3 linked regions of the Struthio camelus genome follow. The protein of the gene in region 1 purifies or fractionates together with the protein of each later gene. This does not show direct contact. Links are inferred from orthologs where the notes say so. Each region holds a gene or a part of one and is shown on either strand. Other genes may lie near its edges.

Region 1 (7,556 bases):
TGCCTGAATGTGCTGCCATCCCTGCTGCGCAGTGCTTTGCTCCTGTATCGGTTTGTGTTTGTGGTACTTCTTGTAAGGAATGCAGGGAGAGGGAGAGCGTGGCGGATGTGGGGAAGGAGCTTGCTCTGGTCTGACATGAGGAAGTGGGGGAAGGTCTGGGAAGTAAATGACTGACCCTGGAACTGTTCTAATTTTCTGGGGAGTGAAGCTTTCTAAAAAGCCCAGACTAGACAGGCTTCCAGAGCTTTTGCTCCCTCCTTCCTCTGCTGTAGCTATACCCTGTGACCTGTCAATCCCATAAGCACACAGATGTGTTCTCTCTTCTGCAGGCTGCAGGAGGACACAGAGGGCATGACAATAGACTTCAATGTGTATCAAGCAGATGCTGTGGCCAAGTTTAAGAAGACGAATCCTGGAAAGCCCTATGTCAGGATGTGTGTACGGAGGTATCAATAGTGCATTATGATTTCTGTTGAAATATCCCTGTTGCTGATGTGGGGATCCTAATGGTCTGTAAATGACCCAGGATCTTGGAGGCTTTGCAGATCATCAGAGTGACTGCCTCTAGGGTGGTCCTGCCCCGAGGTTTCCTTTTCTTTCTGTTCCTCCTTTCTTGGAGTCTGTGGCTGACTCTTCCCCCAGCCCTAGCACTCAGCCCACACTGTTTGGTCATCTGGTTGCTGCTCATGCGGGTATTACTGGAGTCGGGAACAAGAAGCAGCCACAGCTGTATTTATGCAATGCCTGTGAAACTCGCACAGAGCCCGGTTTTGCAGAGAGCCATATGGTATGTGACTCCTCAGCCAGTGCAGATCCCTGTGGATTTATGCAGAGCTGTGCCTACCTAGAGGTGACTACTGGCTCAGGGCCATGGGTTTAGTATTTTGATCTTTGTCATATGTAATTTTGGGGCAGGTATCTGCTTTCTTGCCCGATCCAGAATCTGATACTTAAATTCCATAGGTAGATGCAAAGTTCAATTTCTGCCTTTTCTAGTTTTGATATACTAAAACAGTCTCTTCTCTACTCTCAACTTCAGTAGAGACAGAGGAAGGAAGATGGTAATTCAGGTTTACAAAGGTCTGTGTTATGAATTAGTAGGATGATCCTTACTGCAGAAATATTTCTGCAGAGTCTGTTCATTCTTAAATGGAATTAAAAGGAGGTCAGATGTCGATCCCAGCAACCTAAAGAACTTCCTAATATAAAAGTATTTAGATTGGATTGGCAACTTGCCAGTAGCCCTGTGAGCTGCATCTAATAGCCACAGCATGGAGCACTGTACAGTTGCCCTTGTTTTCAGCAAAGGATTTGACAGCTCCTGGTTCCTGGCATGTGGTGTGCTCTCACTGCTGGCAGTCTCCCGCTTTGCTTGAGAAGTGTGGGGAGAGTCAGTTCCAGCTCATGAGACCAGAGGGGGTGACCATTGTGAGCTCTGGTTTTTCAGGGATGCCCAGCTGGGTGAAGTTTGAGGGCAGCCTGGCTTGTTGCTGTGAATTGTCTAGCTATTGTTCTGTCTCTGATAAGCAAAACTTCCCAGAACAGCTGGGTTTATGTATTCTTCTGTGCTTTGAGAACTATTTTTCCTTCTACAGCTTTGACGAGCAGATTCCATCCCTTCGAGCTTTGAAGCAGGTCACATACCAGAGTGGGGACGTCCCGGTGGTCTTTGCACTGGTGGACCATGGAGAAATTGCCTTTTATTCGTTAAAGGAATTCAAGCTGCCAGTTGATATTAATCACTGAAGTTGCTGTCACGGGCAGAAGTGATGTGGGATGAAGGGGAGAGCTTTTATTCAGGATTTGTTTTCTTGATTAATGAAATACTATGGAAAATAGAGCTTATGATAACCAACTCTTACACTTGGTAGTCCACCACTGCAACTGGTTTTGTTCAACCAGGAGGTGGCTCATCTATAAAAGCAAATTTACTGCAGCCAAGCAGTGTGTACAGCTTAGCCGGGCGTTTCTGGACTGGAATACACACCGCTTTGTTCTTGAAGCCACTGGTTCTCCAGCTCTCTGATCTCATGGACGACTAGCCTTTTCCCTGTCATGTCTATCTGTCCTGTGGACCGCTAGAAAATACTTTGCTGGTGACCCTCTTTTCATATGTTAAGAACCACTGTGCTAAGCCAGTCTGAACGGTTGGAGAATCATTGAGGTCAGCCAGGGCAGAATAAGCTGATCAGGTCAGCGGTGGTCTCCTGAGCTTCTGTCATTCAGCTGCGCCAACGAACATTGGATCAGATTCTTATGTGAAAAACAAAGTCGCAGCCATAAAACTCAGCCAAAGGAATCAAATTTCTAGATATTTGAGAGCAGGAAACTCTGGGCTTTGTGCGCTGTTTTGTCAACCAGAGGTCCCAGAAAACCCCAGAGCATTGCAGATGGCACCCAGCCTCGTGCTGTAATGGCTGTCCGGAGATGTGGTTTGGCCACACAGTATTATATTTTATTAAAATTATGCCACCAATATCAGCACACTGTGTCTGATTCTCTCACCAGGGCTGCACTGCAGCCTTCTCTGTTTTGTCTGTTGACATCCCTTTTTCTGGCTGTAGTTCCTTGTCTTTTCTTTTGCAAGTGAGAGATCCTTGAGCAAAAAAAGAAGCTACAGATTCCTCATGAGCCTTCCAGTCCCGTGGCTTTTGTGCTCCAAAGTGAGGATGAGTATCCCATCATGGCTTTCCAGGCCCTACCATGGGAGCCTTCTGCCAGGATATGCAGGTACCAAATCTGCTTTAGCCTCTCTGAAAAATGACCAGTGAGGGCTGCCAGAAAGCCTGCTCAGTGGATAGAAGGATGCTGAGCAGGGCTGCGTTCAGTATCTAGCTTTCGTCAGAAAGGTAATACCAATTGTTTTAGATGCATTTTATTTGATAATGTTTGAGTTCCTTTTGGGGTTGGGGAAGAGGCAAAGGCTAAAGAATAAAAAGCCTTTTCCAACAATGCAAGCTCCTGAGTGTTAACTTATTAACATTTCTGAGGAAACTAGGCAGAGAGGGATGCTCTGGGGAGGCTGTCTGGACGCCAGTAGCACTAGCTCCTGAATGCCTGCTCCTGGTCATACAACTAGGTGGCTACATGGCCCCTTTCCTACACCGGTTTTGTGTTCTCATCGGGCCTCGCCATCAACCATGCCTTAGTTCCCTAGGAGGGCATCGCGAGTCAGAGGCAGGAGGAGTCTGTACCTCTGCGTGCAGTCCCTGTCGGCACACACCCCCACCTTGCCATCTTCCTGGTGCATGGTCAGAGGTGTTGTAGCCCAGGGTGGCAGCGATCTGCTGCAAGCTCTTCACCTATTCCTGTTCCGTGCACACACCTGTATTACCAGATGCTGGAAGTCATGAGGGCTCCACTGAGCTGAGGGTCTAATTTAATACCTCCTCTGACACACACCCTCCTTTTCCTCTTCCTCCCTCCTGGGAGGGGCTGTGTTTTAACTCTAATAGTCCTCTTTAAAAAGCCAGGGCTGTTGGCAGTTCTGGTCTGATCCCTCAGCGCTCTCCCAGACTGTTTTGCAGATTAAAGGCAGTGGGAGGTGAGTGTCTAAGAACAGGCATAGGCAGAAAAGCTCCAGTCCGGCCCATGGGGCTCACGTTTGTCCTGGAATTAGGTCAAATGCGTGCGCTCCTGTTGAATTGAATCAGAGCCTCATCTGCTTATGCCAAGGTGGAACTGTATCGATGGACAAGAGCCACCCAGTGAGTTTCGCTAGGGCAGAGACTCCCTGATTCAGCACAAAACAATTACAATTTAATAACCGTGGCAGGGAGGATTGAGAAACTGTGGCTGCCTTGCTCAGCAGCACACCATCTGACGGTGCCTTTACCCCGCGGGATGAGATTGTGATGCAGACTGATACGGCTGCTTCGTTTGGACCCACGATGTGGAAGAGCTGGATGTTGCAAGGAGATGACAAAGTATTTTAATTGAATAATTTCACCTTTTGAAGCTCGGCTGAAACACTGACCATTACTGAAAACTTGTCTGAGGTAATTTCAAGCTTTGTGTCGCTGCAGAGACGTTGACAGACCTCGCAGTGCTGTTGCACTGCCACATAAGCACAGTCCTAGCCTGGCTCTTGTTGCCTTGCCGCAGGACCCGGGCTCCCCGCAGCGGTTGATCCCCGCGAAGGGTTCAACTTGCTGTTAAGTCTGTCTCGTTTTTGCAGCCGATGACGGGTGAGCCCCTTTTCTCGACGTTGCGTGGGGCCCTTGGCGCTGACGAACACCTGAGCGGGCTGGAAAGCGCCTTTCCCGGCCGTTCCCGTCCGCGCCGCCCCGGGGCCGCGGCGCGGGGCGCGCCGGTGAGGCCGCTCGGCTTGAATGGCGTGACGCGGCACAGCGCGCGGCTGCCTATAGGACGGCGGCAGCTGTGGCCGCGTTCTGATTGGCTCCGAGCGAGCGGAGCGCTGAATTATTCATGACGGTGCCAGAGAGGCGGGGCCGGATGAAAGCGAGGGGAGGCTCCGCCCCGGGAGGTGATTTGCATGCGGGGCCCCGCCCCGCCGCACCCCTCCCGGAGGTACCCAGGGAGGGAGGACGGCGCCGCCGCCGCCGCGCAGGCGAGGGGCAGCGGCAGCGGGCGCGGAGCGAGGCCGGGGCGGCCCGGCTCGGCTCCAGGCCCCGCAGGTGAGCGCGGCTCGGCCTCGGCCTCCGGGGTGGAGCGGAGCGGAGCGGGGGGTGACGAGCCGTGCCCGACGGGGGCCCTCCCGGTGGGTCCGTGGCGAGCAGCCGGGGCCGGAGGCCCCCCCCCCTCCGCGGGGGCCGCTCCCGGAGCCGCCGGCAGGTGCTCGCCGCCCCCGCGTCCCCTCTCCGCTGGGGCGGTCTCCTCCGCCGCGGCGCCCGGGCCCTCCTCCGGCCACCCGCCTGCGGGCGGCGGGGCGGCCCCGGCCGTGGCGCCCGCGTCCCGGTGCAGCCGGCTTTGGCTCTCCCGTAACGCGTTTTTTTTTGTTGTTGTCGTTTGTTTTTTTGTTTTTAAACTGAGTTTAGTTTATTGCGCTCGCTGTGGACGGAGCGCGCGGTGTTGCCGGGGAGCTCTTACATCCTGGGATTTTCGCCCCGGCGGCGGCTCTTTTGCTTCCCGACTTCCTGTCCCGGCGCTCGGTGCGAGCGGGGCGGCCGCATCCCCCCCCCCCCCCCCCGGCCGGCCGCATCCCCCCGGCCGCCGCCGCCCCTCGCCCGGCGCGGCCCCTCGCAGCGCTGCTGCCGCCCGGCCCCGGCGCCGAGAGCGCTCGGGAGCGGCTGTGCGCCCTTTCGGGACGCTCTGTTCACATCCCCCATCCGATACTCAGCATACGGTGTCACTTTTCTCCCTTCTTTCCCCAAACTCGTACGAGCGAGATGGGCGAGGGGGCGCGTTGCTTCTAGCAGCCAGCGAGGGGGCCAAGCAAGACGGGGAAAGGAGTCGTGGGGGCTTCGCCCCGCGGCTGCGGCGGGGGGACAGACTGGTTGGCGGCCCCTCGCCTCCTCGAGGTGAGGCTTCGGCGTGGCTGCGGAGGCTGTTCGGCGTGTTTCCGTTTCACGTTGTTCACGGAGCTGTTGAAGTAACTTAAGGGACTGTTTCTGCAGCGTAGTGGCGTAAAGCTTTACGTGAGGATAGAGGTAAGATGGGAAGAGAGCTTCACTGAGATAGTAAAATTAAAAGCCGTCCGTTGTAATCTGTTACTTGAATGGCAGTGCTGCTCTTTGTAGTCATCTGAGAGCACCTCGGTCAACTGGAATGTCTTGCTTTACCAAGTCCCTGGTGAAGCTGGAGGCCCAAAGCGGGCTGCCTGCTGGTTTCATCTTTGATTCGGGAAGCTGGCGCTCTAGCAAGCGGGATGCAAAGCGGTGGCACGTCGCGGCCAAGGCTTCTCCGTGCGTCCTGACGCGTTCCTCGCGCTCGCAAGGCGGCCCGGCCCGCGGCGGGGGCAAAGATGGTCTGCGCGAGTTCTGAGCGCTCGCTAGTCCTGCTCAATGCTGCTTGTTGAACTCTTCTAGACGTAACTGCTCCAGGGACTCTGTTTAGTTTCTGGTATTAAAAGGGGGAAGAGTTTTTAAACATCTCTGTAGGATGGCGTTGAAGAGCATCTCTTCTCTTTGGTCTTGTACAAGTTGCATCTACTGTTGCTACTGACTGAAGAAAATTACTGGAGGAGTTAAACTGGTTGAGATAATCCTGTATCTTCCAGTTGCTTTCTGGTACAATAATTTGATTATTATTGGGGAATTGCTTGTGGGACAGATGTTTTTTCCTGACTGACTAGCGTCTTGAGAAATGTCAAAGGGTAAGAGGATTTAAACGTATATGCGTAATGCAGTTACTACATCCCAGTAAGAGGTTGTGATACTGCTACTAGTCTGATCTTTCTTTACAATACTTTATCCAGGGAGGGACTGGCAGTAGTTGGAAGTTCAACCTCTGTGCAGAAATTGTATGGAAACTCCAAATCTCACCTACAGGTTTCTTTTAGGTGGATTTCTCTGTGTGGCTTTAGAAAGAAAATGCTTTCACGTCCCCACTATTTTTGGTGTAAAAATGCTATCCTGAAGTTATTTTCAGGATGATGAGCCATTCTGTCTTTCACTTGAATCACACTTCTTATTTAGAAGTCTACAAAGAGTTTTGCATTGTGTGCAATAACGTTGTCCAATGCAAAGACTTTGTTCTGCTGTAGCATTTTGAAACTTCATGTTGTCATGCTCCCATGACAAGGAGAATACAATAGGAGTCATAATGACACATAAGTTTGCACAGTTAGCGAATTCATCACAAGTGGGCAGTTGCTGGTAACTCTGAACGCAAAGCTGTGGAAGTCCATGAACTTTCCTGATTGGTAAGATTGGTTCTCGATCCTTTTCTAAGAAATCAGAAGGATCTATCTTCAGTTTTTAAGGGTGGCCACCTGCACAAAGTGTTGATGTAGCTGGTTCAACTGCCTGTTTACATGTCTCTCTCTCCAGATTTGCAAAAAATAAATCCTTTTTATGGAAGGATCTTTCAGCTGTCTTCTCTGCTAGTGCCTAATTAACGCATGCAAGATGCATCTGAGCGCTGTCCTGTTTCTGGAAAGCTGTGAGTGATGAGATGCTAGCAGTTGATCAGCAGTTATGTCATGTAAGGGAGCTTTTTGCTTGGTCTTAGTAAACTATGAGATTACTGATGTTTTTAGAAGGAACGTCTTTCCAAAAGAAGCTTTATCCTGGGGGGAAGAAGATGGTATCTAGCGCTTCCAAGCTTTCAATGTGCTGCAACCGTTCCTTCGTTTGCTCTAGCTCTTCTGCTTGGCTTCTGCTTTCTTATTTAGTATCTGTCTTGTTAGTGTGTGCGGCTGAGCTAGGTTATAGAAGTGAACTTTACAGTGACAGCCCGGCTAGAAAATAGCTAGGGATTGCTTCACTGATTTCAAGCTGGAAGTGTTCTAAAACTTGTCATTTCACAGTGAATCATGTCTGCTGGATCTGATGGCTCCTGCACTTGGCACACTTGAGACCCCTAGTACTTAAATGATGCTTTGGTTATCTTTTTGTTGAGAGATCGTTAGTGTTAAGGAATAGCTTGTCCCTGTG
Region 2 (8,115 bases), on another chromosome or scaffold:
CTTCTTTACTACTCAATTCTTCCTCCTACAGGAGGAACAGCCCAGCCACAGCCAGGTCTCAGCCTGTCATTCTTGGGGCAACAAAATAATTTTCTGTCTATGATAAACTCTGCATGTACATCAGGAATTAAGTGGTACCACAAAGCTCACTTTCATCTGCACTGACAGACGATACCCATCTGTAAAAGCGTATCCACTAACTCATTATAACGCTTGGCGGCAGCCACGTATTTCAGTATATAGAAAGGAAGAGAATCTCAAAATATTAATTTAATCTGAGAAACAGTTCTGAACGCTTAAATGAAAATGACAGAGTAGAAACATACAAAGCATTGCCAGCAAATAATCCACTCCATTAAGCTTAAACTGAAAGAAGCAAGGTGGAGAGAACAAAGAGGAACAAAACAAGCTTGGCCTCGGGACATTACAAACCTCTGTAACGAACAAGAGTCAAGGATGCCACAATTTACACACCAGGCATCTAGAACTCTAAGTGAACAAGCAACTCTGAAACCTGCTTAGCTAGAAACAGGCTGGCAAGTTCAACAAAGATTTTAAAAAAGAGAAATCCTGAATGACAGGAAAGAGCTCCCTCCAACAGCTGTGGACATTTCTATATGAGTAAGTCAAAGCCCCACTTTCCACACTACTCTTGACACAGGCCAAGACCGCAGAGCTGCGCTCATGCTGAGCTGTGCTTGGACGAAGGCTGCGACTTGGGAAAGCTGCTAATTCACAGGGGGCTGATGCGGTCAGTAGCTCTTCCCATCACCCAGCTCAGTCCCTTGCTGGAGGCCGCTGCAGCGCGCGGATCGGAGACATCCCTCAACCATGTCACAGTCACTGGGTCATTTAAGCCCTTTAGATTCCTCAGGAGGGGCAGCATGTTTTAATACTCCTACTACAAGCGGTAACGAACACCAACCAATAAGAAGCACATCTGGTGGTAATAACCTCTTAAACCACCTCAGCATAAATTGATTCAGTTTGCGAGATGAGTTTAGGATTTAAAAAAAAAAAAAAAGAAAAAAAACAGGAAGGCCCTACTTTTAAGGCCTTAAAGAAATCCTGATTTATTGTAGAAAACTTAGGCTTGTTGCAAATCGGGAAGGAAAAAGTCAAATATATAACCTGTGAAACACAGTAAGATAGACAGTTTCTTATTCAAGTTAAGGGCCATTGAACTGAGCTGTGTCACAGGCAGGCTAGTAACACCAGCTACCGTAAGGAATTTCCAGTGCTTCTTCCACTGTTTTCAGTCGCTTACAGTTTTACCAAGCTAAGCTAAATCTCATTGCCAAACTACAACGTTCTCCTTTTTGTAAGACAGTACTACAGTTTCTGAATGAAACAATCATAGGCATTCATTTTAACATGAGACAGGCAGTGTACTTTCTCCTAATCTGACTTCAGTAAACCGTTTTGTTACCACCTTCCAACAGATTTCAGCCTGAAGCAGACAGTGTGGCATGAAAAATTCTAGCTCATAATACTCAATGCTTTCTGCCATACAGCTCTGAGATTTGCTCCTACCTCAAGATTTTATGAAAGACATTTAAATGAAGGATTTTAGGAATAGATGGGATTTAAGTTAATCCAGACAGTATGTGCATTTGTATCATCATCAGAACAGAGGCTGCACCCAAACTGCTCGTGGAAAAGTTGGTGGCTGCTTCACAGCTCTCATCCAAAAGAGGTCCTCTGCAATATTGCACAGGCAAACTTCTTTGCTGACTAAACTGTGGAGTAGCACTGAAAATTTTGTAAAGGAAATAAAGGATCGATAGCCTCTGCACTACACTCCAGTAAATAATAATTGGTCAAACGATGGCTTGTCTATAAAACCATAGAGGAGAAAGTTTATAAAAGTAAGTTTAGAAAAGAAAGTTTCTTCAGTGGCTTTCTGTCACACAGATAAGGCGCAAGTGGATTTTGTCAACCCGTAATAAAAACCACAAGGCCACTCTCCAGTCCTGTGTTTTCCAGGAAAGATATAGGAGGACAGAGCCATCCACTCAATATTCTATATGCCTTCTTTGGCCTTCTGTTTTCGTCCTAATCTGTCAGCTGAATGACAGATTAGGCATAACTGGAGTCATAAGGCCAAGATGCACTACTATCACAGCCACCCTTATACTCCTTGGAATAAATGGGAAGGTGCAAACTAAACAAAATATAATCTTAAATTATATTAAAAGCCATAGCATAGTGGGAAAAATGAATTCATCACCCATTTAGCAACTTGCCATAAAAAGATCACTTTGACTCCTATTCTAGAGCCATTCATAAGTCTAATTTTTATTAAACCTTGATTTTAATCACCCAAATCAATACAGATTTTTATGTGATCTTCAATAAAATACAGTGTTAATCATGGGACAGCAGGTATAGATTTACAATGAAAAGGAAATAACAGTTCCACGTTCACCTCTATGAACAAAAAATAATAGCAAATTACAAGAGATAGTAGGATGAAATGAGTCAAGAACAGCAAGAAATTTACATAGTACTTTCAGTACAGGAAATCATGCTTCCTTAAATCGTACTTACAGTTATGTGAGCACTGTGGAATGATCATTGCAATATTGAAGTAATCAAAACATATCCCACACCGCAACAAGTCGTCCACCGCCTGAAAGGAAAACACAGGTCACTTAGAGGACTTCTTGCGTGAACCGCGAACGAGCAAACACACACTTCGCACAGCATAAGACCTTGCGCACCACATTCTTAAGCGACACAGACCGAAACGCACCACCCGCAGCCCGCAAGGGTGGAATTTAATGCCCGGCATTACTTATATCCGAAAGAGGTGCCGCGGCAGACCCCTGCAGAGCGAAGCCTCGCCGGGCGCCCGGCTGGGGACGGCGAAGCCTGAGCAGAGCGGAGCCGGCCGCCCTCAGCCCCGGGCCGCGCCGGGCCCAGGCCCTTCCCGCCGCCGGGCGGACACCGCTCCCCTCACGGGCTCCCCTCACGCCTCCCCCCCCGCCATTTTGGCTGCCCCCCTCGGCCCGCGGCCGCCATGTCACCCTCCCCGCGGGGCGCAGGCCCGCCGCCGCTCCGCCCTCACGCGCCTTCAGAGGGGCCAGGCCGGGCGGCCACGGCGGCTCGGGCAGGGGCAGAGGCAGCGCCAGCGCCGCGGCGGCCATAGCGCCCTGGCACGGCACGACACGGCACGGCACGGCCCTGCCGCGGCCGCCGGCGCGTCCAAATCCCCCGCGCTCCGCGCGCCGCGACGTCGGCGCGCTTCCGCCGGGCTGCCGGGAGTTGTAGTCCGCGGGGCGGGGGCGGACTCGGCTTCCCCGCGGCTTCCCGGGCCGCCGCGCGGGCTGCCGGGAGTTGTAGTCCGCGGGGCGGGGGCGGACTCGGCTTCCCCGCGGCTTCCCGGGCCGCCGCGCGGGCTGCTGGGAGTTGTAGTCCGCGGGGCGGGGGCGGACTCAGCCTCCCTGCGGCTTCCCGGGCCGCCGCGCGGGCTGCCGGGAGTTGTAGTCCGCGGGGCGGGGGCGGACTCGGCCCCCCCCGCTGTAGGCGCGAGCGGAGCGTTTAACGGCTGCCTGAGGGGCGGCGGTGCGCGGCGGGGGGGGGGGGGAGCGGCCTGCCCGCGCCTCCGCGCCCGATACGAACCCAAAACTGAGCATTTTTTCCCCCCAACTAGAGCATATTACTCATTTTTCATTTCCTAATGACGTTTAATTCAAAAACTCGTGCTCGGGGAACGTTACAGGCCCTGCGGAGGAGCAGCGCGCGAAGCGCTCGCCGGGCGCCGGGTGGGTTGTCGGGGGCGGCCTGGCGCCGGCGGGAGGCCGATGGCCCTGGGGTGTGCGCGTAGCCCCCCAAAAAAGGCTGCGTTTAAACGGCCTTTGAGGCAAGGCCGGGCCGAAGGCGTCGGCTCGCTTGAACCGACGCGGGCAGAAACCCCCGCACCAGCCAGTGTTCCCTTGTAGTACGCAAGGGACGGACTAAGATCCTGTTCTGAGCCTCAGTAATTCACATTATTTTTATAATAGAGCCCCCATATGACATTTTGCTTTGTAGAAATACTCAATTTGCCATTCAGCTTTCATCACTATTTTGCTTTCAGAGAGAAATGGAAGTGAGCCAAAAATAACATTTGCAGCAGTGTTTTGGGCAGATACAACATGTTTTGGCTGAAAACAAAGAACGGGTGCAGTGGTCAAAACGGTAGATAGACTGTTAGTGCAGGGGTTAGCTGTGTGTAGAGAGAGGGCAGTCCAGCTGGTGCAGAGCTACTGCAGCACAAAGAGTTAGATTTAGAGACACCGCTGACAGCAGGATGGGGGAACCCGGAGAAGAGGCCACGTTAAAAACCAAAACCAAGCCCAGAACCGTCCAGGTGGCACGCTGAGCGTCGGGGCGTTGATGGCAGCGGTCGTGTCTGCGGTAGCGCGGGTAGGAGAAGGTGGTTACCCAACGTGGCTTTCCTTCTCTCCTTCACTGTGACACGATACAATATCCAACTTTTCTCTCCAGGTAGGGAGAAAAGCATGTTGACTGGGGTAAAGGCTAAAATCGAGTTTGGATCTTCTTTATGTCAAAGAGATAGCGGTGTACATGGGGAGCGTACCAGGCGGTTACGCGCGGTCGCAGGGGCGCCTGGGAGATGGAGCTGATTTTGCAGCTGGTCTGACTTTGCTGATCTCAGCAGGACTACGTCAAGGATCTGTTTACTCCACGGATTAATAAACGCTGAATCTGCCAGATGTGGTTTTGTTTCTTCAGCAATGGAGCTATGTCATGCTATCCCTTGTCAACGCTATATCAGCTTCACTGTTTAAAAGCATGTGTTGCAGCAGCAGAGTTAATGGCAACAAGAAGTCAGGATTGTGAATTGATTTGTTTTGCAATCTAATATTGCTGGAACAGTGTGATATAATAACTGAGGAAAGACAGGTGACAGAGTAGGACAGGGGACACACATAAGCGCTAAAATCATGGCACTCATTTCTATGCATGTGTCCTCTTCACTGCACTCTTATGGATGGTTTCTAGATGCCATACAATTCTCAACCACTGTCATAACTGTTCACTCAGGTGAAAAATGAGATGCGGCACTGAGGGATGCTATTAGCTGCTATGATAGTCTTTGTCTGTGTCTTCCAGGGTATATTCATTTAAAAAATAGCTAAAACACTGTCCAAAACATCTGGGGAAATGGTCTCCTACTTAACTTCTCTTTTGCAATTAACCTACTTCATCTCAGCACAGGTAACTTTTTCTGTTTACATTTCTCTGTAGAGGTGTACGTCAGACCTGTGCTATGGGAACAACCTGCTGTATGCGCGTACCTGTCGCGGGGATGGGTTGCTATGGTAACGCACATTATCACCATCGCTTCCATCGGCCACAAAGGCTGAGATTGAGCTGCTTGTTCTCCTCAAAGTGGGCACCGCAAAACCCAGGCTAAAAATAAAAAGCTGCATGGATGGAAAACAAACAAAAAGGGGCAGGTAGCACTGATCATGACTGAGCACTACTGATGCGCTTGCAGAAGGTTTAAAAGTTGTCCAGGAGTTTGGGGAACTTAGTGCATTGCCAAAGCAGTATAGGATAAAATGCCAAAACAAGTCTAAATGACTTTGAATCCTCAGTCCTATCATGCTTTGGAAAAATACTCTGTAAAGTAAGAAAATAAAAATGTGATATATTGACAACAGTTAGCACAGTAGTACCTGTGCTTCCGCAGCTCTATTTCCTTTTAACTTAAAATCTGATTTTATGGAAGTTTTTCCACCAATCTCAACGTGACGCTGTTTGCTGGTGTGATTAATAGCTGTCTGTGTTGGAGAAATATATGGATTTGCTGGCAGAGGTTGCATTTCTACTGTAAATACCAATTATGTCAAAATAGATTTTTTTGCACAGAAAACTTCTGCTTCAATACGCTTGCTTGGAACTGTGCCGTCATCCCTCTGTCTTCCTGCAGTGTATTCATTAGTGTTTATCAATCTTCTTTAAGGTAGCCTGTCAGTTCTGCTACTGACATTTTCAGTAGCAGATTACACTAAATATGGCTCGATGAAAGGAATGACTTTATCTTGGAAACAGTCACACTGAAGCATCTACATTGTCTTATAAAAACGTCCCAGGAAGGGCCACCCTCTTCTTGCTTTTTCTAATAAACATTGGCAATGCAAGGCAGAGTTCAGAAGATGAAATTCCATTTCTGCTAGTACCTACGGTTTTCCAGAGCGAAAATGTGCTTTGCCTTAACAGTGACAAAGCTTCATGCAATCCAAATTTCAAACGCTAAGGCCTAAAGCAAGGTCATGCCAGCTGCCGCTCAAGGAGTGCCCGATGCACAGCGTGCTCAATCAAGATGAGCAGATGCCAGTCCACCAGCAGGCAGCCCAGCATAATCCACTGATAGAGTTCCCTGCGTGCTGCACAGTTATGAATTTTATTACTGATTAAATTTATAGGAGCAAAGGTTTTTCCACATACACATGCAGGTTTAACATTTGTACATTAATCTGCAGAACAGTAATATCTTGCTCTCTGCCCTCCTTCAGCTCACAGGTTGGTTTTGAGCACCTCAGTTTTGCACCTGCCAGTGACTCAATTGTGCTGTTATCTGAAAACCATGCACATGAGTGCCTCATTTTTCCCATAAGACAAGTTTTGCAGTAGTGCAATTTCAACGGACTTGCTCCTGATTCACTCTAATCTGCTTTTTTGGTAAAATAAAGTCAAGCTCCATGAACTGGTACTCAATAATTCTTTTATGTACACACACACACACACACACACACACACACACACACACTTTTTATGTATATATATAGGACACACCATGACCATAGGATGGAGGAGGTCAGAACAAATTATCATAGTAGTCTCTGCTGGGCTTATGCTTTAAATCTCTGAATTTGTATATTTGAATGGTACTAATTACTGCCTGAGATGTGCTAAAAATACGTAGTATTTACAGGATAATTTCATTGCAGTTTAAGTGCTTGTTCTAACATTTTAAGGAATCCATTTCTTCTGCTTTCTCTAAGCTATGAGAAATTGATATATCAGTTTCTTACGGATCTTTTTAAATTTTCTCTTCTTTCTCTTCCCTCATACATTCTTGTTCCAGTTTCACATAGCTTATGAGACAAGCTTATTGGCTAGCGATTAACTGATTCTGCCCAGGAATTGACATAAGGGTTTCATTAGCACAGCAACATGTTTATTCTGTACTTTGGTAGACTGATGAATAGCAAAGGGCAATGTGTTTATTGCTGAGCCACAGCTATGCATGCTGCTACTGAATAAGTAACAAAATATTTCCATGGTAAAACGCCTTATGAAACAACCTAGAAGAAGTGGGGAGCGAGCTGAGGAGCCCTTCAGCTGGGGTATTAATAAAAGCTTCTCCTTTGCCTCGCTGCATGAAAATGCAGCGTTTGGCTCCAAAATGCCTGCTATTCGGTGAAATATTCTTAGAAGTGGCTATGGGTTCTTGGCAAGAGGGGATGGGCAATGTACGGCGACCCTCGTCCCCAGCGACATGGGAACTGCATTTCCGTGGAAAGGCAAGTCAGGACAGCTGTGAGACGGCATTGGGAAGGGAGGAAAGCGCTGGCACGGTCTCTGCTCCCGCCACTGAGAGGGCACCAGGCCTCAGGTGCCCCAGCATTACTGACACCCCTACCACATTCTTCACTGTGATGCAAAATTATCCTGACGGGTAGCGATTGCGTTCCAAGCACTTAATTTGTGAGACACGTTGCCGTGAAGAAACCCGTGCCCTGGGCAGAAGAAACCTTCGCCATCACCAGCAGCTACACCAAGAGCAATAGGGTAAGGGAGCCCAGGTGGCACCTGCTCAGGAGGGGCCGCGGGGACGGCTGTGTGCCCATAAGGCATGGTCCCCAGAGACGGACGCGCATATGCGTTGCTTGGCCGCCAGTCCCTTCCTGCTGGGTCATCGCTGATGGAGGAGGTTGGTTAACTGGAGGCAGAAGAGACGGAGCAGCCTGCCGGGAGCTAGCTGTGGAAGAACGGCAGACACCCCTTCCAGCTCCCTGTCAAACAGCCGTCCTCATCTTAACCTCCAAAATAGCATCTTTATTTTTGTACATTTTTCCTTCTGGAAAAGGCTTTCCC
Region 3 (8,187 bases), on another chromosome or scaffold:
ACAGAAAGAAGAAGAAAGGAATGATTATATCTTCATGATAGTAGCTTTCTCATAGTCGTATTAACATTACAAATTAACAGTACTGAATTTCCTTCCATTTCATTAACTTAATGAAGATCCAGTCCACTAAAGTCCATTAGAAAACTTAGCAATTACTGCAAACAAGTAACTCCACTATCATTGTCTGTATTTTAATAACCCATTCTAATTTAAGTTACAGTTTAATACAGAAAAGATGCATGGGAAGATAGAGATGATGTCAGCTGCATAAATCATTTGACAGTACGGAACTCATTAGAAGATGGATCCTGCACTTGCAAACTTACTATTATGCTTCAATTTACCATAGAAGTAGGACCATCTGTAGAGGGACAAAGTGAAGGCTAGCTTCATCTCGAGGGGGGAAGAGAATCAGGCAGAAGTCCCCACATACCAGGCCTGTGGTCACTAGCGCTTTCTTTAAGTCAAATATATTTTAAAGTGTTTGCAGTCATCGTTTTGACACTGAGAGTAACTTCTGTCTATACAGCACCTTTCATCTAGAAACCTGAAGAGCTTTCTGAAAATTAACTCAGTGCTTCTGCACGGCCATTGCATGTTCAAAATTCATACCAGCAATGTGTGAAATGCTCTCCTTGCCAGAACTTGTGCTTTTTTTTTTCTTTAACTAGTCTCTGTTACCAAGCCACAAAACCATGCAATGGAGACGGAAATCTTGCAACACTGTTGAGGTGTATCTGCTACCCTGTTTAATGCTTGTGTTGATTGCAGTGACAAGAATTTACATTTTAAGCAAAATTTTTATCCCACATGGAAGTAGAAGGATCTACTTCTAGGTAACCCGCGGAGGATGAGATCTATTTGCCTGCTTGAAATGAATGACACTTGGGAGACATTATTGTTTTTCATATTTTTTTTGTTAATCAAGAAAGGAAAACCAAGAATCGAAGCAATGGAATGTTCAAAGTTCTTTGAAAGGGAGCAAAAATTCTGAAATTCAGCAGAACAAGTGTAGTCTGAATATTTGCAGTCTTTAGTGAGCAATGCCTTATCCTAGTGATTTACAGAGCTAGAGCATTCTTTGGAGGCAGAATTCGCAGCACAATCTCCTCTCCTCCCTCCTCCCACCCCCAAACACGCCTCTGCTAATCAACCTTTGCCATCCTTGCAAAGTGCTGTTGCATTTAACCCCACTTAGAGGTAATTTGGAAAGAGAACAATCAGTTTGGTAACCCATTTCTAGTCTCTGTCTGATGATATTTGGAGATTAGCTGCTGGGACTGTGGCTTCTCAGCTCCTTTGGTTTTTGAATTATTTGCATGCTAATAACTGTAAGTACATAACCAGTTATATAATATCCACCAGATAAGTCAAAGGGGTGCGAAAATCCACCAAGGCCAGGACGCCTGCCTCCCGCTTTGCTGGGACCCCCGTCTGCCCCCACCAGCTGGGTGGCGGGCACACATCAGGCTGGCTCGCACAGCCCTTGCCTGGGAGCACTCACACTGCTCCTTTCCCAGCAGGCGCTGTTGTAAAACACAAAGAAATCGAGCTCTAAATTATACTGCTCCTGGCATCGTTTTATTGCCTGGTTCTCTCCAGCAGTATTTCGCCTTGTAAAGCAAAGCGAAGGTCCTCGGCAGCGCAGAGCCATTCTCTTTGGAAATGCTGGAAGCTGTCATAGCAAGTGTCCATCTCCGTTTTCACTCGTGAGCTCTGTGGTACAACTCAGCAGGTGCCATTTCCTCAGCCGTAGATCTGGCCGCTCATCTTGGGACTACTTTAGAGTTAAGTCACGCGAGAGGTTTCCTTGATGCTTCATCTTCCTGGTAGTAAAGAAGCGTCGGGTTTCCCCACCCCTTGGGAGCAAACTCTTTGCTCTTTTTCCTAGTAAATTAACATGCAGCTCTGGAAGGCCTGCAGGCAAAAGCTCTTGAAAGGAAAGAGAAAGAAGACATTTTAGCGTAAGGGAAGGGACAGTGGAAAAAACACTGGGGCAGGCAGTCTTCTCTCCCCATGTCCCCGCTGCTCCTGTGGCTGTGGCATTACTCCTTCTGCTCGCCGGTGGGTGGTCTCCTGCACTGGGGCAACTGGTGTTCCCTGGCATTGGTCTCTGCAGCTGATTAAGTAGAAACTATTATCCCTGCGGCAGGAACACTGCTCGCTACGTACAAAACAGCAGTCATCATCCCCGCTCTTCTCTGCTTTGTGCCATGCTTCATTTCATTTTACATTTAAAGAAACCCAAACCAGTCCATCATTGCAGCAGCTCCCCCAAGCCATTTGGACTTATCATTTGTAACCCTTGCAAATTCAGCGCGAAGGGGAAAAATAAATCTTTGGATGTGAGTCTGCGGTAATTTTCACTTCTCAAAACATGTAGGCGACTGTTGTTAACATTAATGAGGCATGCAGCTAATCAGAGTAAGTCCCTTGCTTGATGAAAACAGCACTGCAGGAGTACATCAGGCACAGAGTGCAGCACCTTTCATTCCCCCAGTGAACAAAATTCTTTTAAAACAGAGGAGTATTTGAATATTTATATTTAAATGTACGGCCTGATAGGATCTCTGGGCTGTAGCATCCCTGCCGTACTTAGGGCAAGAAATGAGGGCAGAAAGGGGCTAAGGGACTGGGCCAGGGATGCGTGAGTGCAGCCATGCTCACGTCAGCAAGGGCTGGGACACAGCTACCACGGAAGAAACGGCGATCTTAGCTCTGCAGGTGAGAAACAGGAAAACTAGTTACAGATGACCGAAACAGATGAAAACTTACAGAAGTGGTTAGAGGAATGTGGCGCCCTTGGCAAATGATGAAAAAATTGCTGAAAGGTGCCTGAGTAAAAGCGGTCAAATTAAAACCATCTTCGTGACTGAAATATGGCAAGAGTTTGAGGGGGAAGCAGCAGGTAGGAGCTGCAGTGCCTGCTGCACCACGGAGCCAGGGCAGTCTGAGAACAAGCATTTTTTTGTTCCTGCTGTAAAAGGAGATGAAGACACTGCTCATTAAGGTATAGCATAGACATGGGAAGAGTAGACAGCAGCAGGACAAGTTTTCTGAAGCTGCCTTAATCATGTGCCCCAGCTCTCCTCTGCAGAAAGGAGATCAAATCTAAATGCAATTTGGAAACGTTAAAAAAAAATTGTATCTTAACAAACCTACAAAAACGGACTGGATTTCGTGACAGTTGTTTGAGAAACTTTCTTATCCAACAAACGCTATGCACTTATATAATATTGTTGTATTTTTCTACAAATTTCAATATACAATCAGATTTTCATACTCAGGCCTTCTGCCCATGTGTGCGCCCATTTTGGCCTAACCAACGACCTATCCAGAAACCGATCGTTCCCCTGATGAGAGTGGGAAAAAAATTGCTTATTTTAATTTAGAAAATAATGGATGTTTAACTCAAATTGGATGCCATTTAAATAAACCACATTTTTATTTTAAAAGTCTTCACATCATTACACTTGAAATTATGACAACGTGTATTAAAGTCTGAACAAAAATAATTTAAAATACGATATTCATATTTGCGCATGGGATTTTTTTAAGAGACAAACTGATAAACTGGGAAAAGGCAGCAGAAACCAAGTTTTGTTAAAGTACTTGGAAAAGATCCTTTGATAGCAGTAGCCTCTTTGTCGGTGTAAAGACCGTATTTCCTCCTATCGGTGTAGTCACCCTGTTTACTGTGATGAGTGTTTAATTCAAAGTTGAAAAAGTGGGCAAAAACTGAAGAGCGGAGAAGCTGCTCCTCTAATCTGTGGATAAAAAGCAGAGTGAGAGGCAGCGATCTACTATTTCTAAAACGCTGTAGTATACAAGAACTGGAAACAGCATTAGTTCCGTTCCTGAAATACAGTAATTTGTGCGCTTAATAAATCTGTTAGCTTCAAGGACAGGGTAGATGGGAAAAAGAGGGCTGCGTGTTTCTGTGGTGGTGGTAATATGAACAGGACCTCGGATGGCTGCTGTTGACAGGGCAGGGAGCGTGGAAGTCCCCCGAGCTCTACTAGTGAATCAACCTCTGACTTGCGCTTTGAAAAACGTATCTTTGCTCTGAACGGATCCAGCATGGTTTAGCGACTTTTGTATGAACAAAAAATTAGTTCTTTTTTGAACATTTTAATTGAATCCTCTTCCCGGTTACCCACAGCTAGGTAGGCATTATTAGCTTTAAAAGTCGTTATTAATATAAAAGAGAGGGTAATGAAGCATTTGCATTTTCTGAAAGAAAACAAAAAGTCCAAAAGAATTTAATCTGTATTTCTCAAATGAGCATCACGGATACCAGGAGAAAGTACCACATTTAGCGTAAAGACTACAGATTTAAATTACTTACTAACTGCTGAGAACTGACTTTCCCTGAGGGGGGGAAAAAAAAAAAGCAAAACTAAAAATCTAAACCAGAATTAATACTAATCATGCCTCCGCTGTGGCTGTGATTTCGGTTTAAACCAGCTGTTGGATTTCGGGGTCGCGCCGCGCACGTGGGATCATGCCAGAAGTCACCTCAGCATGTCCTTTTCCGCCCCCCTGAACTCGTGGGGCGCGGCGGCCGCCGCCGTTGCCACCTGCCCCGGGGGGGACGGGGAGAAAGGGGGCGAGAAGGGGGCGCTCAGGTCTGCACGGCGGCGTGTGGGCGGCCGTCGGGGACGTCGAGCAAGGGGGCGCACCGGCCCGCGCCGCCTTCGCGCCACCGCCGGCCCGGCGAGGGCCGAGGGGCGGGGCGAGAGGCGAGGGGGCGGGGCGAGAGGCCTGAAGGGGCGGGGCGAGCGAGGCGAAGGGCGGGGCGCAGGGGTGGCGGGAGGCGGGGCGCAGGAGGCGGTGCTCTGCCCGCCGGGCCGCCAGCCGGGGCCGCGCGGCGGTTGGGAGCCGGAGCGCGAGCCCAGCGGAGCGGCCGCTCTCATTGGCGCGCCGGGACAAAGTGGCCGCAGCCCCGCGCGCGGCGCGGCGCGACACGCTCGCGGGGGGCGGCGGGAGCCGCCGGGGCCGGGCCGGGCCGCCGGAGGGCAGCGTCCCGCGGGGGACTCGCAGCCCTCGGTGTGCGAGGCGCGGAGAAGGAGGCGGCGGCGGGGGAAGCAAGCGGGGACCGAGAAAATGAATCGGAGTTTCAATAAGTCTCAGACTCTGCGGTACCTGGAGTGCAGCGCGGTGGAGGTGAAGAGTAAGGTGAGGAGAGCGCGGCGCGGCCTCGGCCGGCGGCGGCTCGGTCCCTCTCCGTCCCCCCGCCGCTCCCCGCCGTGCGCGGAGCCCCCCGCCGCGCCGCTCGGCTGCGGCAGCCCGCGCCGGCAGGAGCTGGCGGGGCGCCTCGCTCGGGCTCCGGCGGTGTGTGTCCGCCCCGCCCGCCTCCTCCCCCCCCACGGCGGGACCGGGGGCGGCGCGACCCCCTTCCCCCCGCACGGCCCGCGGGGGCCGGGCCGGGGGCTGAGCGGGATCGGGGCGGGCGGGCGCCGGGGGCGCCGTGCCCGCCGCTCCGGCTCGATCTTTTGTTTCGCCGCAAGGACTTCGGCGCAAACTTTTGCGGGGGGGGGGGGAGAGGAGGAGGAGGGAGGGCAAGTTTCGAAACCGCCCATTGTTTTCGCTTTGCCGAAAAGCGGGGGATTTCGGCGGGGGCTTTTCGGCGGGGGCTTTTCGGCTAGCGGCGTGCGGAGGGGAGGGGGGCGGCAGCGGGACCGCCCGCCCTGCCGCCGTGGCGGGGCTCGCCGCGTCCCCGGCCCGGCCCGGCTCGGCTCGGCCCGGCCCGCCGCGGGCTGCTCGGGCTCCGTGCTCCCCCTGGTTGGGCGCTTGGCGGCCCCGGAGCGGAGCCGTTTAGCGCTTTCTGCTTATTTTCTAACCGGTTTGGTTAGGTGGGGAGGAGCGGGGCTCCCCGCCGCCTCGCCGAAAGCGAGGGAGCCGCCGGGGCCCAGCTGGGCCCGCCGGCCCCCGAGCGGGGCCGCCGCTGCTGGCGGCGTCGCGTCGCGTCGCGCCCCGGCGGCACCGTCCTCGGCCCGAAACGCCTCAGAGGGCGAGCCGTTCCCCAGATGCCGCCGCCATCCGTCTTGGGGGCAGTCCGCAGGTGCCCCGGTAGAGTTGAGCGAGGGAGCGGGCAGGGAAGTGGGTGGAAAAACGGGGCCAGGCTGGTGCTGGTGGCGTCGCCGTGGTGTGGCGGCTGCGAGGCCCGGCGGCTTCTCCCTCGCCCGTCCCTTCTGCCGGGTGTCAAAGGGGAACGGGGCGCGCCTGCCCTGGCGGAGCCAGCAGGTTGTGCCTAAGCCCTTATTTTTTTAGCAGCGGGGTTGCGAACCACAGGACAGTCGTGCGCGGGCACAGCTGCGCGTTGTGGCTCGGCTTTTTTAAACGATGATTTCAGTTCTCTGTTTTTACAGTTGGTCTTGCTGAGGGTTCTCCAACAGGTCCGGTCTGGTCGCTGTTGCTTGAAGCAGCACATCAAAATCTTGTCCACCTCTCCTAGGTGGAAAAACACCTCCTGCTTGAGGGAAAACTCAGAAATCTCCCTGGAAGCCTGCTTTCTATACACATGTCTGATCAGTGAGTAGGTTGGAAAAAAGTAAGGAGTAACATTCGCATGTTCTGGGAAACTGTGCACTGGCTACCTGTTTACACAGTGTTGGAGCTGAGGTGTCAGGCACTCTTGTTTGTGTTCAGTGCTCTCCGTTTCTGTCCTCTGCCGCTGTTAGTATTTGCATTGAGATCAGCCAGCCTATAGCTCTGTCTCAGTGGGAGGGCTATCTCACGTGCAGGGGACTCTCCAATCATTTCCGAAGGTGACATCTGAAACGTGGGTTGAGAGCTCTCATTTCCTAACCTCCCATTGCTACTCGAGTGTTCGAAGGGGGTCAGCAGGCCAGGGACATTTTCGTCTTGCTTACACAGCTGGAAAATTTTGGTTCGGTTTGTACTAGTTCTAAGGTGTAATCCGCCCCCACAACATTTGATATGACCCCCAAATCCTCCAGATCCAGTTTTCTCATCACTGGCTTATACCCAATGCAAGCTTCAAAGTAAAAACTTGACCCCAGTTAGACAGGAACTTTTAAGTTCATACTCTTACTGCAGTATTCAGGTGGAAGAAAGTAAAATTTGTTCTCTTAGTAATAATTTAAAAGCAATCTTATAATGAACACCACATAGCCTCTGTTATAGCTGTAGAAATCTTTTAAGTGAATCCTATGTAGCCATGTAGATACCAAGTCATTTAGGTAGATCGCGAGTGTGAACGAGTGACTGCAGACCTGCAGAGAGAAGGAAATCCATTGCAAATAAACTTGTGTGGGTGGAAGGGGTTTACTGGAGGCCTTCTATAGTTCAGGGAAGTTACTGCTAATGGCACAGACGTTACTTTATAGAACAGCACTGCTTCAGTAGGGTGGGAACTTAAAATAGAGGCTGAACTCTAAATAGCATGTGGAGGGCCTACACCCAGTGATGATCCATTAATGTGCAACTTGGGTCAAGGGAGGCCAGCTGTTGAATTTCCTGGTTCTGGTGGGTCGTTTTGTCCGCTTACTGTTAGTGTGACTTGTGTGCATCAAGTTGTTGGAGAGGTTGCTACCGAAATTGCGAGGTGGTTTTCTTTTGTCCGTAAGGCTCACAGGTTTGCTCAGAGGGAGTTATTGGATTGTGGAAGTCGATCCAGTGAGAAACTCTGGCCAATGGTGCCTGGACTGTCTGGAGCTGAGGGAAGGGGAAAAACTTAAATACCTTCTATTCAGTAATGCTGCTTTTGGTAGCCTTATGTAGTCAGCCTTTTAAACATCTAGTTGCCTCTGTTTTGTAAGTACAAGGCCTGTCCAAACCTGCCTGAGAACTAGAAAGTTGAGTCTGAGAACTCATGATTTTGCATCTATCTTCAAATGCTGTAGCCTGCCAGGCGAATGAAGGTGGGTGCAGCGCAGTGTCTGAGCTGGAACATACTCTTGGCTGGGGATCAAGGGATTCTCAGGTGGCTTTTCAAAGGTTGGGGAAGTGGCAGGCCGTGGGCAGGTGGAATCCCTTTTAGTGGAGGAGCCGAGTGTGAGAGAGCACTGCTTTTACACAACTGCATGAAATAGCTTTTCTCCTTGTCTGAAGATTGAGTCAGATGTGAAAGAGCTCTGAAAAAATAGCTGTGGGGAGTCAGACGGATGATAATCTGCAAACATTTTTTGGTAGTCCTGCCTCTGTTATGATAACCAGGTGATT

What was found.
Region 2: the proteins of LLGL2 (region 1) and RAD18 purify together in Homo sapiens (affinity purification with mass spectrometry; 3 studies listed by BioGRID and IntAct, counting the BioPlex papers as one, with this or other methods). This does not show direct contact. The link is inferred for Struthio camelus from reciprocal best matches to the Homo sapiens genes LLGL2 and RAD18.
Region 3: the proteins of LLGL2 (region 1) and PARD6G purify together in Homo sapiens (affinity purification with mass spectrometry; 4 studies listed by BioGRID and IntAct, counting the BioPlex papers as one, with this or other methods). This does not show direct contact. The link is inferred for Struthio camelus from reciprocal best matches to the Homo sapiens genes LLGL2 and PARD6G.

What each region holds. Positions count from the first base shown.
Region 1 is NC_090960.1:8,492,092-8,499,647, forward strand, and holds the start of LLGL2 (LLGL scribble cell polarity complex component 2), read left to right. Parts: upstream 1-4,515; 5' UTR 4,516-4,637; intron 4,638-6,775; exon of another isoform or gene 6,776-6,823; intron 6,824-7,556. Other genes in the region: TSEN54 (tRNA-splicing endonuclease subunit Sen54), read left to right, coding at 330-446, 1,596-1,746. UniProt on the Homo sapiens protein: Part of a complex with GPSM2/LGN, PRKCI/aPKC and PARD6B/Par-6, which may ensure the correct organization and orientation of bipolar spindles for normal cell division.
Region 2 is NC_090955.1:1,140,593-1,148,707, reverse strand, and holds the start of RAD18 (E3 ubiquitin-protein ligase RAD18), read right to left. Parts: upstream 3,323-8,115; 5' UTR 3,150-3,322; coding exon 3,075-3,149; intron 2,963-3,074; exon of another isoform or gene 2,746-2,962; intron 2,633-2,745; coding exon 2,551-2,632; intron 1-2,550. UniProt on the Homo sapiens protein: E3 ubiquitin-protein ligase involved in postreplication repair of UV-damaged DNA. Postreplication repair functions in gap-filling of a daughter strand on replication of damaged DNA.
Region 3 is NC_090943.1:94,492,453-94,500,639, reverse strand, and holds the start of PARD6G (partitioning defective 6 homolog gamma), read left to right. Parts: upstream 1-4,865; 5' UTR 4,866-5,106; coding exon 5,107-5,178; intron 5,179-8,187. UniProt on the Homo sapiens protein: Adapter protein involved in asymmetrical cell division and cell polarization processes. May play a role in the formation of epithelial tight junctions. The PARD6-PARD3 complex links GTP-bound Rho small GTPases to atypical protein kinase C proteins.